Pelodiscus sinensis: one gene and its partners. The protein of the gene in region 2 binds, or shares a complex with, the protein of the main gene of each other region. Links are inferred from orthologs where the notes say so. Each region holds a gene or a part of one and is shown on either strand. Other genes may lie near its edges.

Region 1 (3,750 bases), on a different chromosome or scaffold from region 2:
CAGTATTATAGTCTCATCTATCTTTATATTTCAGTTCTTCCTCTAACATTCAAGCAAAGTAAACAGCCTGTACACATCAAGGATGCACCCAGCGTTCAACTTCAATATGCAAACAGAAAAAAGATGCATAGTAGTCTCCTTTTTATAAATGGACTGATCCAAGCGATTCAAGTGGAAAGTGAATAAAGCGTAAATCCAAATGCGAATGGCTCCATTTCAGTAATAGCGTGAATAAACCCCCACAGAAGGCTTCATTGCTAGCAGCAAACTCCAGAGTCCAGATGAAACAGCAGGAAGAACACAGGGCAGATAATCCTGTAAAATTACCCCAGTGGAAATGTTGATAAATTCCCAATTACGAGACCTGCTCTAGGATGAAAAAAATGCAAGATACAATAAAATTACCAATCAACACTTGCAAACCTACACACATAAACCAGACAATTACCACCGGTATTCCTACATTCTTTGATTTTTTTTTTATCTGATACTCAACTCAGTGAAATTCAAATAAATAAAATAACCTCCTGAAACTAAACAAAGGAAGAACTGAACAACCATTACTGGTTATAAATCAATTGCCTTCCTAGAGTGTCATATTCAAGCAATTCTTGTCTCTACATTACTAATATATTTTAGATCAAAAGAACTTGAGCCATTTTTCTGCCCCCCCCCCCCCCCATATTAAGATTGGATGGGACAATGAAGCCAGTTTCACAAGAATTTTTTTTTTAATTTACAGACATTATTGATCAGATTATGTAAAATCTTACCTCTAAAAATCTCAATTTTGAGCCAAATACAGGAATTGGCATGTAACAGGTTTGCTAACCTCACTAGTGGGAAACACAGCAACTTAAAATTCTTCACATTTGAAAGCATGTAGTGTAGCGAAAAATAGATCTAGCATCTAGTTCACAACTGCTTACTTCCTACATGTTTGTCTCAGAGTCTGACAAATACAATAGCAATCATTCTCCAAACCGTCAATTACAAAAGTAATTGCCTGCTCATGAGCTTAGTAACCCTATCAATTGGATATTATTATAATTTCCATGATTAACGACATACACACATTTTTTCATATAACAACACTGCATAAACTTGTCTTTGGAGTATGTTTCCCAGTTCCCCATTGTTTACGCCCTACATGTGTGTATCCCAGTGTCTCATTGGCCCAACCACTTATCTGCATGTCACCACAAGTCCTGCCCTCCCCAGTCATTTCATTGGACAGCAGGATTGACAATCACCCTCTAACACTCTTCCTTTCTACTTCAGATAGATCTAAGCAGTTGCTGCTGTGGCCTCCTTATTGCCAGCTAGGCCTCAGTTTTCAGACTATCAGCAGCAAATGAAAGGGGAGGCTTCTCTCGGAGCAGAAAACAGATTTTGTTTACAAACCAATTTTGCTTGTTCACAAAATAAGACTTACAAAAAGAAATACATCAGCTTTAAATGAATTCAAGTCTCTCAATGCAGAGGGGTAGGCTGATGGAAAATTGTGGTCTGAATGTAGATGGTCAATTATCATACTGATGTCATTTCCTTCTGTCTTCATGTTTAATTATTTTAAACTCAATTACACAGGAAAAACGCTTTTAAACTTCCAAATGCCATTATACTAATTTCAAGTCCATTGTCACTGCCTCTTAATTGCTTTCTCAATGCGTGTAAGCCTTTGAAACGAGAATAAACCTACTTCCTCTGAAAGAAGCCCCCACCTTTCCTCTCACTGCAAAACCACCCTAATATAATTACTTTCTAAATGCCAATAAATATGGGGTACAATAAGCTATTGAGGGAAGGAGGCCCTTTGCCTCTGGGCTCTCTTATTCTGTGGATAAGCTTCCAGTCTAATTCCTCTTGAAAAGAAGCCCCATTTCATTCAAGAGTTTCTCATATCACCCACCCACTCAAGCCCCCTTCCTTCAGCGCCTCCCTGCCCCAGCTTCCAGCAATAATGCTTCTCCACCGTTTCTTCCCCTCCACAATGACATCCCCTCTCCTCCCTCAGGCCTGCTGCGAGAAATACCCCTTCCCAGCCTCAACTCCCCACCCCCTGGAGTATTAATCCAGCCCCCTGTTCCTCAGAGCAAAATCACTCGTCGCTTCCCCCCCCCCCCCACAAAGCCCCCACAGAGCTTTTTCCAAGGGATTAACCCCCCCCCCCCCAACTCAAATCAATACTACTTCTCAGGCCCCGGAGCAATACTCCCATTCACCCCACCACAGACCAAGAGGTCTCCCTCCCCCACAGCAATAATCCCCCCCAAATTCCCTAGCAATCTGCCCCCACCCAACCGCACCTTGGAACCAATACACCATTCTCTGCCCCCCACCCAGGGCACTTCTACCCCTTTGGCCCCCAACACAGGGGCGCCCGTGTGCCCCCCCCCAGTAATACTTCTTCCCCCCATAGCGGTGATACCCGCCCCCTCAAAGCAGCAGTACTCCCCTCCCCCAATCACCCCCCCCCCCCTCGGAGTAATAATACTCGCTCTTTCCACACACACCCCGCCCCGCAGGAATACGCCGCGAGACTCCTCCAACAAGAACCACCCCGCAGGGTAAAGCCCGGGGGTCCGCGCTCCTGCCCGTACCTGTGGCTGCAGCATCCCCGTCCCCCCGCCGCCCTCTCTCCGCTGCCTGCCTGGCTCTTTGTTTCCTGCCGCGGGCCGGACGGGAGAGCAGCTTCCCCCCCGCCTCCTCCCCCTTCTCCTCACACGCATTGAAAGCAAACAAGCATCATGGCGGCAGCGGGCAGGCCGCCCCCCCCCGCCCCAGCACCCCGCCCCTCCGCAGCGCCGCGCGCTGGGGCCGCCCACACTCACCGCACGCCGCGCGCGGCGTCTCTGCGGCCTGGCCGGGCCGCGCTCGGAGCGTCCCCACAGCCCAACGGACCGCGCGGGGGGGGAGGGCCTCGGGGATCTGGGGGGTCCGGGGGCCCTGGGGGGTCCGGAGGGGGGATGGCTGCGGGGGGGTCCGGAGGGGGATGGCCTCGGGGATCTGTGGGGTCCGGAGGTGAGATGGCTGCGGGGGGGGGGTCCGGAGGGGAGGTGGCTGCGGGGGGGTCCAGAGGGACCTGGGGGATCCGGAGGGGGATGGCCTAGGGGATCTGTGGGGTACAGAGGAGGGTGGCTGCGGGGGGGGGGGGTCTGGGGAACTTGGGGGGTCCGGAGGGGGAGGGCCTCGGGGATCTGTGGGGTCCGGAGGGGAGGTGGCTGCGGGGGGGTCCAGAGGGACCTGGGGGATCCGGAGGGGGATGGCCTAGGGGATCTGTGGGGTACAGAGGAGGGTGGCTGCGGGGGGGGGGTCTGGGGGACTTGGGGGGTCCGGAGGGGGAGGGCCTCGGGGATCTGTGGGGTCCGGAGGTGAGATGGCTGCGGGGGGGTCCAGAGGGACCTGGGGGGTCCGGAGGGGGATGGCCTAGGGGATCTGTGGGGTACAGAGGAGGGTGGCTGTGGGGAGGGGTCCGGGGGACCTGGGGGGTCCGGAGGGGGATGGCCTCGGGTTTCCGGAGGGGTATGGCCCGTGAGGTTTGGGGGAGCCCGTAGGGTTGCGGGGGGGGGGGTGGCTGCGGAGGTCCCTTGGTGTTCTGGAGGCGGGTAGCCCGTGGGGTTTGGGAGGAGGGTGGCCGCGAGGGGCCCATGAGGTTCCGGGGGGCCGCGGGGGTTTCAGAGGGGGTAGCTGCGGGGGGCTCGTGGGGTCCCAGGGCATGTTTGGAGGAGCATATTGGTGAGATCTGAG
Region 2 (3,750 bases):
ACATCAACTCATCTAGATATTTGCCTAGCTTTACAACAATCTACATAAAAAACATGAGCCAAGTCAGCACAATCTAAAATTTCACACAGCCTGTTTATGCTGTTCTATATACTATAGGGCTGTCTACACATTAGCAAGATTTTGCGCAAAAGCAACTGCTTTTGCGCAAAGACTTGTAGCCTGTCTACACTGGCCGTGAGTTCTTGCGCAAGAACACTGACGTTCCAATGTAAGGAATCAGTGCTTCTTGTGCAAGAACTATGACACTCCCGCTCAGGAATAAGCCCTCTTGCACAAGAGGCCAGTGTAGACAGGCAACATGAATTACTTGCGCAAGAAAGCCCAATGGCTAAAATGGCCATCGGAGCTTTCTTGCGCAAGAGACCATCTACATTGGCACGGATGCTTTTGCGCAAAAGCACATCTCTTACACAAAAGCACATGCCAGTGTAGATGCTCTCTTGCGCAAATACTTTAACGCAAAAATTCTTGCGTTAAAAGTATTTGCGCAAAATCTTGCCAATGTAGACGTAGCCTAGCTGTGGTGTCCAACACGCTAAGCACCAGACACACGTGGCTATTTGGCCAGTTGATTGTGGCTAGTTGGCTTGAATAACATGCCTTGTTTGCTATAGCATTTTCAGAATAACGTGGCTAGTTTGCTCTGCTTCAGAACTGTTTGGACAGCACGGTGCTACAGGCTACATGCAATATTCATATTCCAATTTATTCAGTTTTATAATTACTGAAAAATTGCTGGCTTCTGCATGTAATAATGTGTTATGGCAGTTCTATATTTTTATAAGCAAGTATTTAAGCAAGGTAAAACCTACAGGTTCCCAAGACATGTTAGACTCCAGGAAGAGGTACAGTATAGGGATGTTAAATATTCGTTAATTGAATAGTCGATTAACTTTATGAATTCTTATTAGTTAATTGACTATTTTATAGTCCCCAGGCAGCCCCTTTCCGGGGGGGGGGGGGGGGGAGGGGGGAAGGAGGGAGGGTCTGAACTCCGGGACCCAGCATGAGCCAGAACTGAACTGAACTGACTGCCTGCCTGCACTTTCAATGCAGAGCTGCAGCAGGGGTAGGACCAGGACCCAGTGCAAGCCAAGACTGAACTGGGCTGCTGGCCAGCCTGCTAACAAAATTGACTAGCAAAGGGTGGGGGAGGAGGGGAAATCATGTAGTCTATAGCATTAACCTATAAGCTTTTGATTATTGGTTAATCAACTACACTATTACATCCCGGTTGCATCTAGACTGGCAAGTGTTTCCGCAAAAGCAGCTACTTTTGCAGAAAAACTTGCCAGCTGTCTACACTGGCCGCTTGAATTTCCGCAAGAACACTGACGATCTCATGTAAGATTGTCAGTGTTCCTGCAGAAATACTATGCTGCTCCCGTTCGAAGAGGGCCAGTGTAGACAACACGGTATTGTTCTGCGCAAAAAAGCCCCGATGGCGAAAATGGCGATCGGGGCTTTCTTGCGCAAAACCACATCTAGAGTGGCACGGACGTTTTTCCACAAAAAGTGCTTTTGCGGAAAAGCGCCCGTGCCAATCTAGACACTCTTTTCCGCAAATGCTTTTAACGGAAAAACTTTTCTGTTAAAAGCATTTGCGGAAAATCGTGCCAGTCTAGACGTAGCCTCCCCCCCTAGTACAGGAGTCTGGAAAGCCTGGGAGTCACTAGGATACCTACAAGCAGCCATATGGGAAGCCATCCAAGTGGAGTCGTCAGGGGCCCTGGCCAGGAGCAGGGCTCGGGGCGAGCACCTACCGCAGCAGCCCTGCTCCCGGACGCTGCCACAGGCAGGACACCCCAGAGCCCGGCACCCAGGGGCGCTGCCCATCCCCCCGCGCCCGCAGCCCAGCGGGGGCTCGACCCCAAGAGCCGCGAGCCAGGCTCGGGGGCCTCCCTCGCGGAACCCCGGCCAGGGGCTGAGGGGGCCTCACCCGCCGCCCACAAGGGAGGCGCCAAAGCCGGGAACGCGCGTCACGCCCCCGAGCAGCCCCCACCCAGCCAAGGGAAGGGGCTGCCCGCCCTACTTCGCCTCCCCCCCCCCCCGCGGAAGGACACAAGACTAGACGTCCCACTCCCCGTGGCAAAGCCGCGGCTGCGTACATCCCTGCGCTCGTCGGGCGCACAGGCCTGCAGCGCGGCTCGGGCGGTATCCCTGCGCGGGGAGGAGCGAGTCCCGGGACAAAGGGAGCCAGAGCCCGGGGTCAGCGCGGCGCTTCGCCTACTCACCGCCCGCCTTGTCCGCCGCCATGGCCGCTCCGCGCGCGCAAGCTGCCCGAGCGGCGAGTGAGTGAGCCCCGCCCCCTTCGGGGAGCCTAGCCCCGCCGGCCCCGCCCCTTCCGCCCGAGGCCCCGCCCGCCGGCAGCGGGAGCCGCTTCGGCCGACCTGGCCCCCGCCGGGCTGATCTCCGGCCCGCGGGCCGGTCACAGACTGAGCTGCTGGTCTCACCTAGTGCTGACGTAGCAAGCCAGGCCCGCGCCCCGGCGTCCCCGTGCACGTGCCTTTGCTGCGGGGGATAAAGGGCCCTTCCCCCGGGCCCGGTGTGTTGGCTCCAGTCGCAGGCTCCCAGCCCGGAGCTGCGCCCGCCGTGGTGTTGGCTTGCACCAAGCACCCTCTGCCGTCCGGTTCGTGCTCGCAGGAGCCCTTCCCAATCATTGCCTCGCCTGCTCTGTGGCCGGTCTGACTGTGTATTGCTGAACTGAAAAAACAACAGATGGTCTGGTAGCACTTTCTAGACTAACACAACATGTGGATGGTACCATGAGCTTTCGTGGACGTGTGTTTTGTTAGTCTAGAAAGTGCTACCAGACTATTCGTTGCTTTTTCCGTTTTCCTGTACAGACGAACTCGGCTATCCCCTGAAGCTTTTGACTGTGTATTGGGAAGGGGCTCCTCGCCAAGGTGTTTACTGGGGATGTGCAGATTTAACAGGTGAGGCTTAACCCCTCATACGTTTCAGAGCAATCCTGCACCTGGTGCATCATTGAATAGTACTAGCTGTGTAGCCATGTTAGTCTGGTCTAGCTGAAACAAAAACCAGGACTATGTAGCACTGTAAAGACTAACAAGATGGTCATCATTGTTCCTCTTACAACTGCATCTATAGATAACCTGTCCAGTCTGGAGGTGGAAGGATGTCTTTCTGAAAAATCTGAGCTAAGTCATAATATTAAGTAGGAAAACAGTTTCTGTAGCTGTTAACTGCTGATGGGGTACAAAAGAGCCTCCTGGATTTTACTGGTATTGTTGAGAAATATACTCAGACTTCAGCAAGAAGTTCAAGTTAAAAGCCACATTGTTACACCGCAATCTCCAAAAAGTGGGCACTGTGGCACAATTAATATTTTATCTGTTAATAAATTTCTGTAATAGGAATCACTTACTTTTGGGGCACTTATGTATGGTCACATCGGGATTATCTCTTTCAGGTCATATCCTCCCCCTTCAGAAGGTTGCTCACACAGTGTGTCTACACAGCAGGGCTAAAGTAGAGTTAAGCTACACAACTTCAGCTATGCCAATTGCGTAACTTATGTCAAAATAGCTTACCTCAGCTTTTTGCACTGTCTACACAACAGGAAGTTAAAGGAAGAACACTCTCCCTTTGACTTCTTTTACTCCGTGTGAAATGAGGGTTGCCAGGAGTCAGAGTAACAAGTCCTCCAGCTTGACGTTATTTTGTAATAAAGGCTTGTAGTGTAGATGCGGACTATGTTATTTCGAA
Region 3 (3,750 bases), on a different chromosome or scaffold from region 2:
TATTCTAGCAGTGGGTGGGTGAGATTCTGTGGCCTGCATTGTGCAAGGGGTCAGACTAGATGATCATAATGGTCCCTTCTGACCTTAAAGTCTATGAGTCTATGATACCACTGAAAAATTTAGAATGGAGGTCTGGACTCCTTTGGAAACATACTATCTGTACATTCAGGTGAATTCTGTTCAGTCAGTTTTCAGCTTAAGCCTTTTGCATACCCCTTAGACATAGTCTGCTGACCCCCAAAGGTCCCTCGACCTCTAGAAACACTGCTCTAGTTGACTATGTTCCACTGGTAGTTTAAAGGTGATACTAATTCCTTCTAATGGGATGTTCTGGGAAACTGGATGTGTGACAGAATCCTCTTTTCTAGTATGAAAGATACCTGGGACCTATAAAGCCATACAGATTAACTAGCAAAGGTACCATCCTACTAACATTCATGCACATGATTAACTTTATGCACACATTAAAAAAGGAATTATTCATACATGCTAAGTTAAGCACATTCTTGAGTGACTGCATGATCATTAGTCAATTATATATGCCAATATTTGTTACAAAAAAAATGTTCTTCAGTTCAGATCTACATATTCTCTCCTGACTGCCAATCTCTTTTATCTAGGCCCTCTATATCATATCTTCACTACTGAGGTCTATTCTTCTGCAGACTAGACTACTGCAACTTTATCAAGTCAATTCAAAATGCTGCCAAAGTTTTCATACCTCACCACTTCAATTATATCATACACCCATTTGTTGGAACACCAATTTCCCCCCTTATAGCATCAAATATGCACTCCTTTAGACTGATCGTAAGGGTGGTTTATAATTTAACCCATGCCTACTTACCAAAACCACTATCTTATAGCACCCACTCTGCCACTCCTTACTTCATTAGTCAACATCTTTCACAAACACCTCTGTGCTTTTTTCCATGACCTTCTCACAAATTCCCCCTGTAAATTTAAAAAGTGACTAACTTAGCCTCCACCAAATCACTCCTGAAGATTCAATTTTCAGGAAGATGTCTGCAGAACAGTGTCTACAGAGTCCACACCTCCATTCAAATTTTTTCAGGGGGCTCAAAAAAGGAAGAAACCCACTGTGTTAGTTTTCAGGCTCAAAATTTAAATGTTGTAAATAGTATGTTTTGGAAATAGAATGCTCCACAATCTAATATGAATGGAAATATTTTAACAAAATATGCCGAGTTTTCTGTGTAAAGGGATATAATTAGTTTTTCAAAAAAGTAAAAATAGCTTGGGTACTACACGGATTCTGAATTCTCCTGACAGTTTTTGTGCTTGATAGCCAGCTAAGCAAGCTCATCTATGGCTACACAGTGCTGCAACTGTACCAGTGCATCCCATCTAGTGAAGACTCTATGGGTGCATCTAGACTGGCAAGACTTTGTGCAAAAACTTGCCAGCTGTCTACACTGGCCACTTGAATTTGCGCAAGAACACTGACGATCTAATGTAAGAATTCAATGCTTCCTGCGCAAATACTTTGATGCTCCCGCTCAGGGATAAGCCCTCTTGCGCAAGAATACTTGCGCAAGAGGGTCAGTGTAGACAGGCACCTTAATTTTTTGCGCAAGAAAGCCTGATGGCTAAAATGGAGCTTTCTTGTGCAAAAGCGCGTCTATACTGGGCACGGATGCTTTTGCGCAAAAGCCTCCGTGCCAATCTAGACGCTCTTTTGTGGAAATACTTTTAACGGGAAAACTTTTCCGTTAAAAGCATTTCCGCAAAATCATGCCAGTCTAGACGCAGCCTATGTGTCAACAGGAGCTCAGCATGACAAAACCACCTCTGGGGCAGCAGTAACAGCTATATCAGGGGGGGATAAGTTCTCAAATGGACACAGTGCAGCGTTTATGCGGATGTGAGGTAATGTCACACAGGGAGAGGGTTTTTTTCCCCCCCCACACTCCTGGATAACTGAAGTAATGCTGACATAGGCTATGTTTACACTGCAGCCTAACTGACCCTGGTCCTTCATTGCTACCTCGTCCTCCCACCTGCTTAGCTGAGCTACCCTCCTGCGTTGTCACTGCCTCAGTAGTAAACTCTGCAGGGCAGGACCTGCCTTGGTTTACTCCGTGTGGCTCGCTGACAGGGTTGCTACCATTTCCCCACGCTCAGGAGCCCTGTTCGCCTCAGGATCCCCCCTGGGAGGCTGCAGGGCCAGGCAAGAACAAACTTCCAGGCAAAGCGTCCGGAGCCCCCCGGGCAGGCGCTGAAGCGGTGACAGCTGGCGGGCTGCGCTGGGGAAAGTCCCATTTCTCAGGGGGGGCGGGGAGGGCAGAGCCGGGGGGCAAAGTGGCTGCGGCTCAGGCCAGGACACAGGCCAGTGGGGCGGCTGCGGGAAGTTCCCCGGCCCCTGTGGGAAGCGCCAGGCCCGGAGCGGGGCTCAGCCCAGCGCGCGGCCGGGCCGGGGCCTTGGGCCGGGGCCACGTGTTTACACAAGAGGCGCCCAGCTCGCGCGCGCCGCCCCCCAGCGCCGCGCGGGGGGCCCAGGCCGGGGCCGGGCTCGCGCACACGCCAACGGCCGCCCCGCCGCGAGCCCCGTCCCCCGCGGGCAGGCCCGGGCCTGGGAGCGCGCCCCGGCAGCCGGGCCCGCCTAGGCCGCGCTCGCCCCCCCTCCCCCCGGCCCCGCTCACCTGCATCCAGCGCGCGGGGGCGGCGGGGCTGGGCGGCGGCGCGGAGGGCGGCCAAGACATGCAGGCAGCGGCCCGCCGGGCCGGGAGGGGGCCGGGGCGGGGCCGGGCGCGGGGGGCCGCAGGCGCCTGCTGCCGGATAAATATTGGGATTACTCCGGGGGGAGGCGGCGAGAGCGGCGGGGCGGGGCGCGGGGCCCTGTCTCCGCCTCCTCCCGCCGCCCGGCCCGGCCCTGCCCCCTGCGCGCAGCGCCCTGGCCTGGATGGGCCTGCGGGGGCGGGAGTGTGTGTGTGTGTGTGTGCGTGTGTGTGCGCGCTGGGGTATCACCGTGTGTGTGTGTGTGTGTGTGTGTGTGTGTGTGTGTGTTGGGGTATCACTGTGTGTGTGTGTGTGTGTGTGTGTGTGTGTGTGTGTGTGTGTGTTGGGGTATCACTGTGTGTGTGTGTGTGTGTGTGTGTGTGTGTGTGTGTGCGCGCGCGCTGGGGTATCACCGTGTGTGTGTGTGTGTGTGTGTGTGTGTGTTGGGGTATCACTGTGTGTGTGTGTGTGTGTGTGTTGGGGTATCACTGTGTGTGTGTGTGTGTGTGTGTGTGCGCGCGCTGGGGTATCACCGTGTGTGTGTGTGTGTGTGTGTGTGTGTGTTGGGGTATCACTGTGTGTGTGTGTGTGTGTGCGTGTGTGTGCGCGCTGGGGTATCACCGTGTGTGTGTGTGTGTGTGTGTGTGTGCTGGGGTATCACTGTGTGTGTGTGTGTGTGTGTGTGTGTGTGTGTGTGCTGGGGTATCACTGTGTGTGTGTGTGTGTGTGTGTGTGCTGGGGTATCACCCCGTGTGTGTGTGTGTTGGGGTATCACTGTGTGTGTGTGTGTGTGTGTGTGTGTGTGTTGGGGTATCACCGTGTGTGTGTGTGTGTGTGTGTTGGGGTATCACCGTGTGTGCGTGTGCGTGCAGGGGTATCACCCCGTGTGTGTGTGTGTGTGTGTGCGCGTGTGCATGCTGGGGTATCACCCCGTGTGTGTGTGTGTGTGTGTGTGTGTGCTGGGGTATCACCCCGTGTGTGTGTGTGCGCGCGCGCGCTGGGGTATTACAC

What was found.
Region 1: CNOT10 (region 2) and CNOT6 share a complex: the UniProt entries of both Homo sapiens proteins name them as parts of the CCR4-NOT complex. The link is inferred for Pelodiscus sinensis from reciprocal best matches to the Homo sapiens genes CNOT10 and CNOT6.
Region 3: CNOT10 (region 2) and CNOT6L share a complex: the UniProt entries of both Homo sapiens proteins name them as parts of the CCR4-NOT complex. The link is inferred for Pelodiscus sinensis from reciprocal best matches to the Homo sapiens genes CNOT10 and CNOT6L.

Annotation. Positions count from the first base shown.
Region 1 is NC_134727.1:33,391,824-33,395,573, reverse strand, and holds the start of CNOT6 (CCR4-NOT transcription complex subunit 6), read right to left. Parts: upstream 2,757-3,750; 5' UTR 2,604-2,756; intron 370-2,603; exon of another isoform or gene 1-369. UniProt on the Homo sapiens protein: Poly(A) nuclease with 3'-5' RNase activity.
Region 2 is NC_134712.1:183,643,071-183,646,820, forward strand, and holds the start of CNOT10 (CCR4-NOT transcription complex subunit 10), read right to left. Parts: upstream 2,394-3,750; 5' UTR 2,278-2,393; coding exon 2,256-2,277; exon of another isoform or gene 2,107-2,255; intron 1,732-2,106; exon of another isoform or gene 1,729-1,731; coding exon of another isoform or gene 1,707-1,728; intron 1-1,706. UniProt on the Homo sapiens protein: Component of the CCR4-NOT complex which is one of the major cellular mRNA deadenylases and is linked to various cellular processes including bulk mRNA degradation, miRNA-mediated repression, translational repression during translational initiation and general transcription regulation.
Region 3 is NC_134715.1:8,811,915-8,815,664, forward strand, and holds the start of CNOT6L (CCR4-NOT transcription complex subunit 6-like), read right to left. Parts: upstream 2,829-3,750; 5' UTR 2,664-2,828; intron 1,486-2,663; exon of another isoform or gene 848-1,485; intron 1-847. UniProt on the Homo sapiens protein: Has 3'-5' poly(A) exoribonuclease activity for synthetic poly(A) RNA substrate.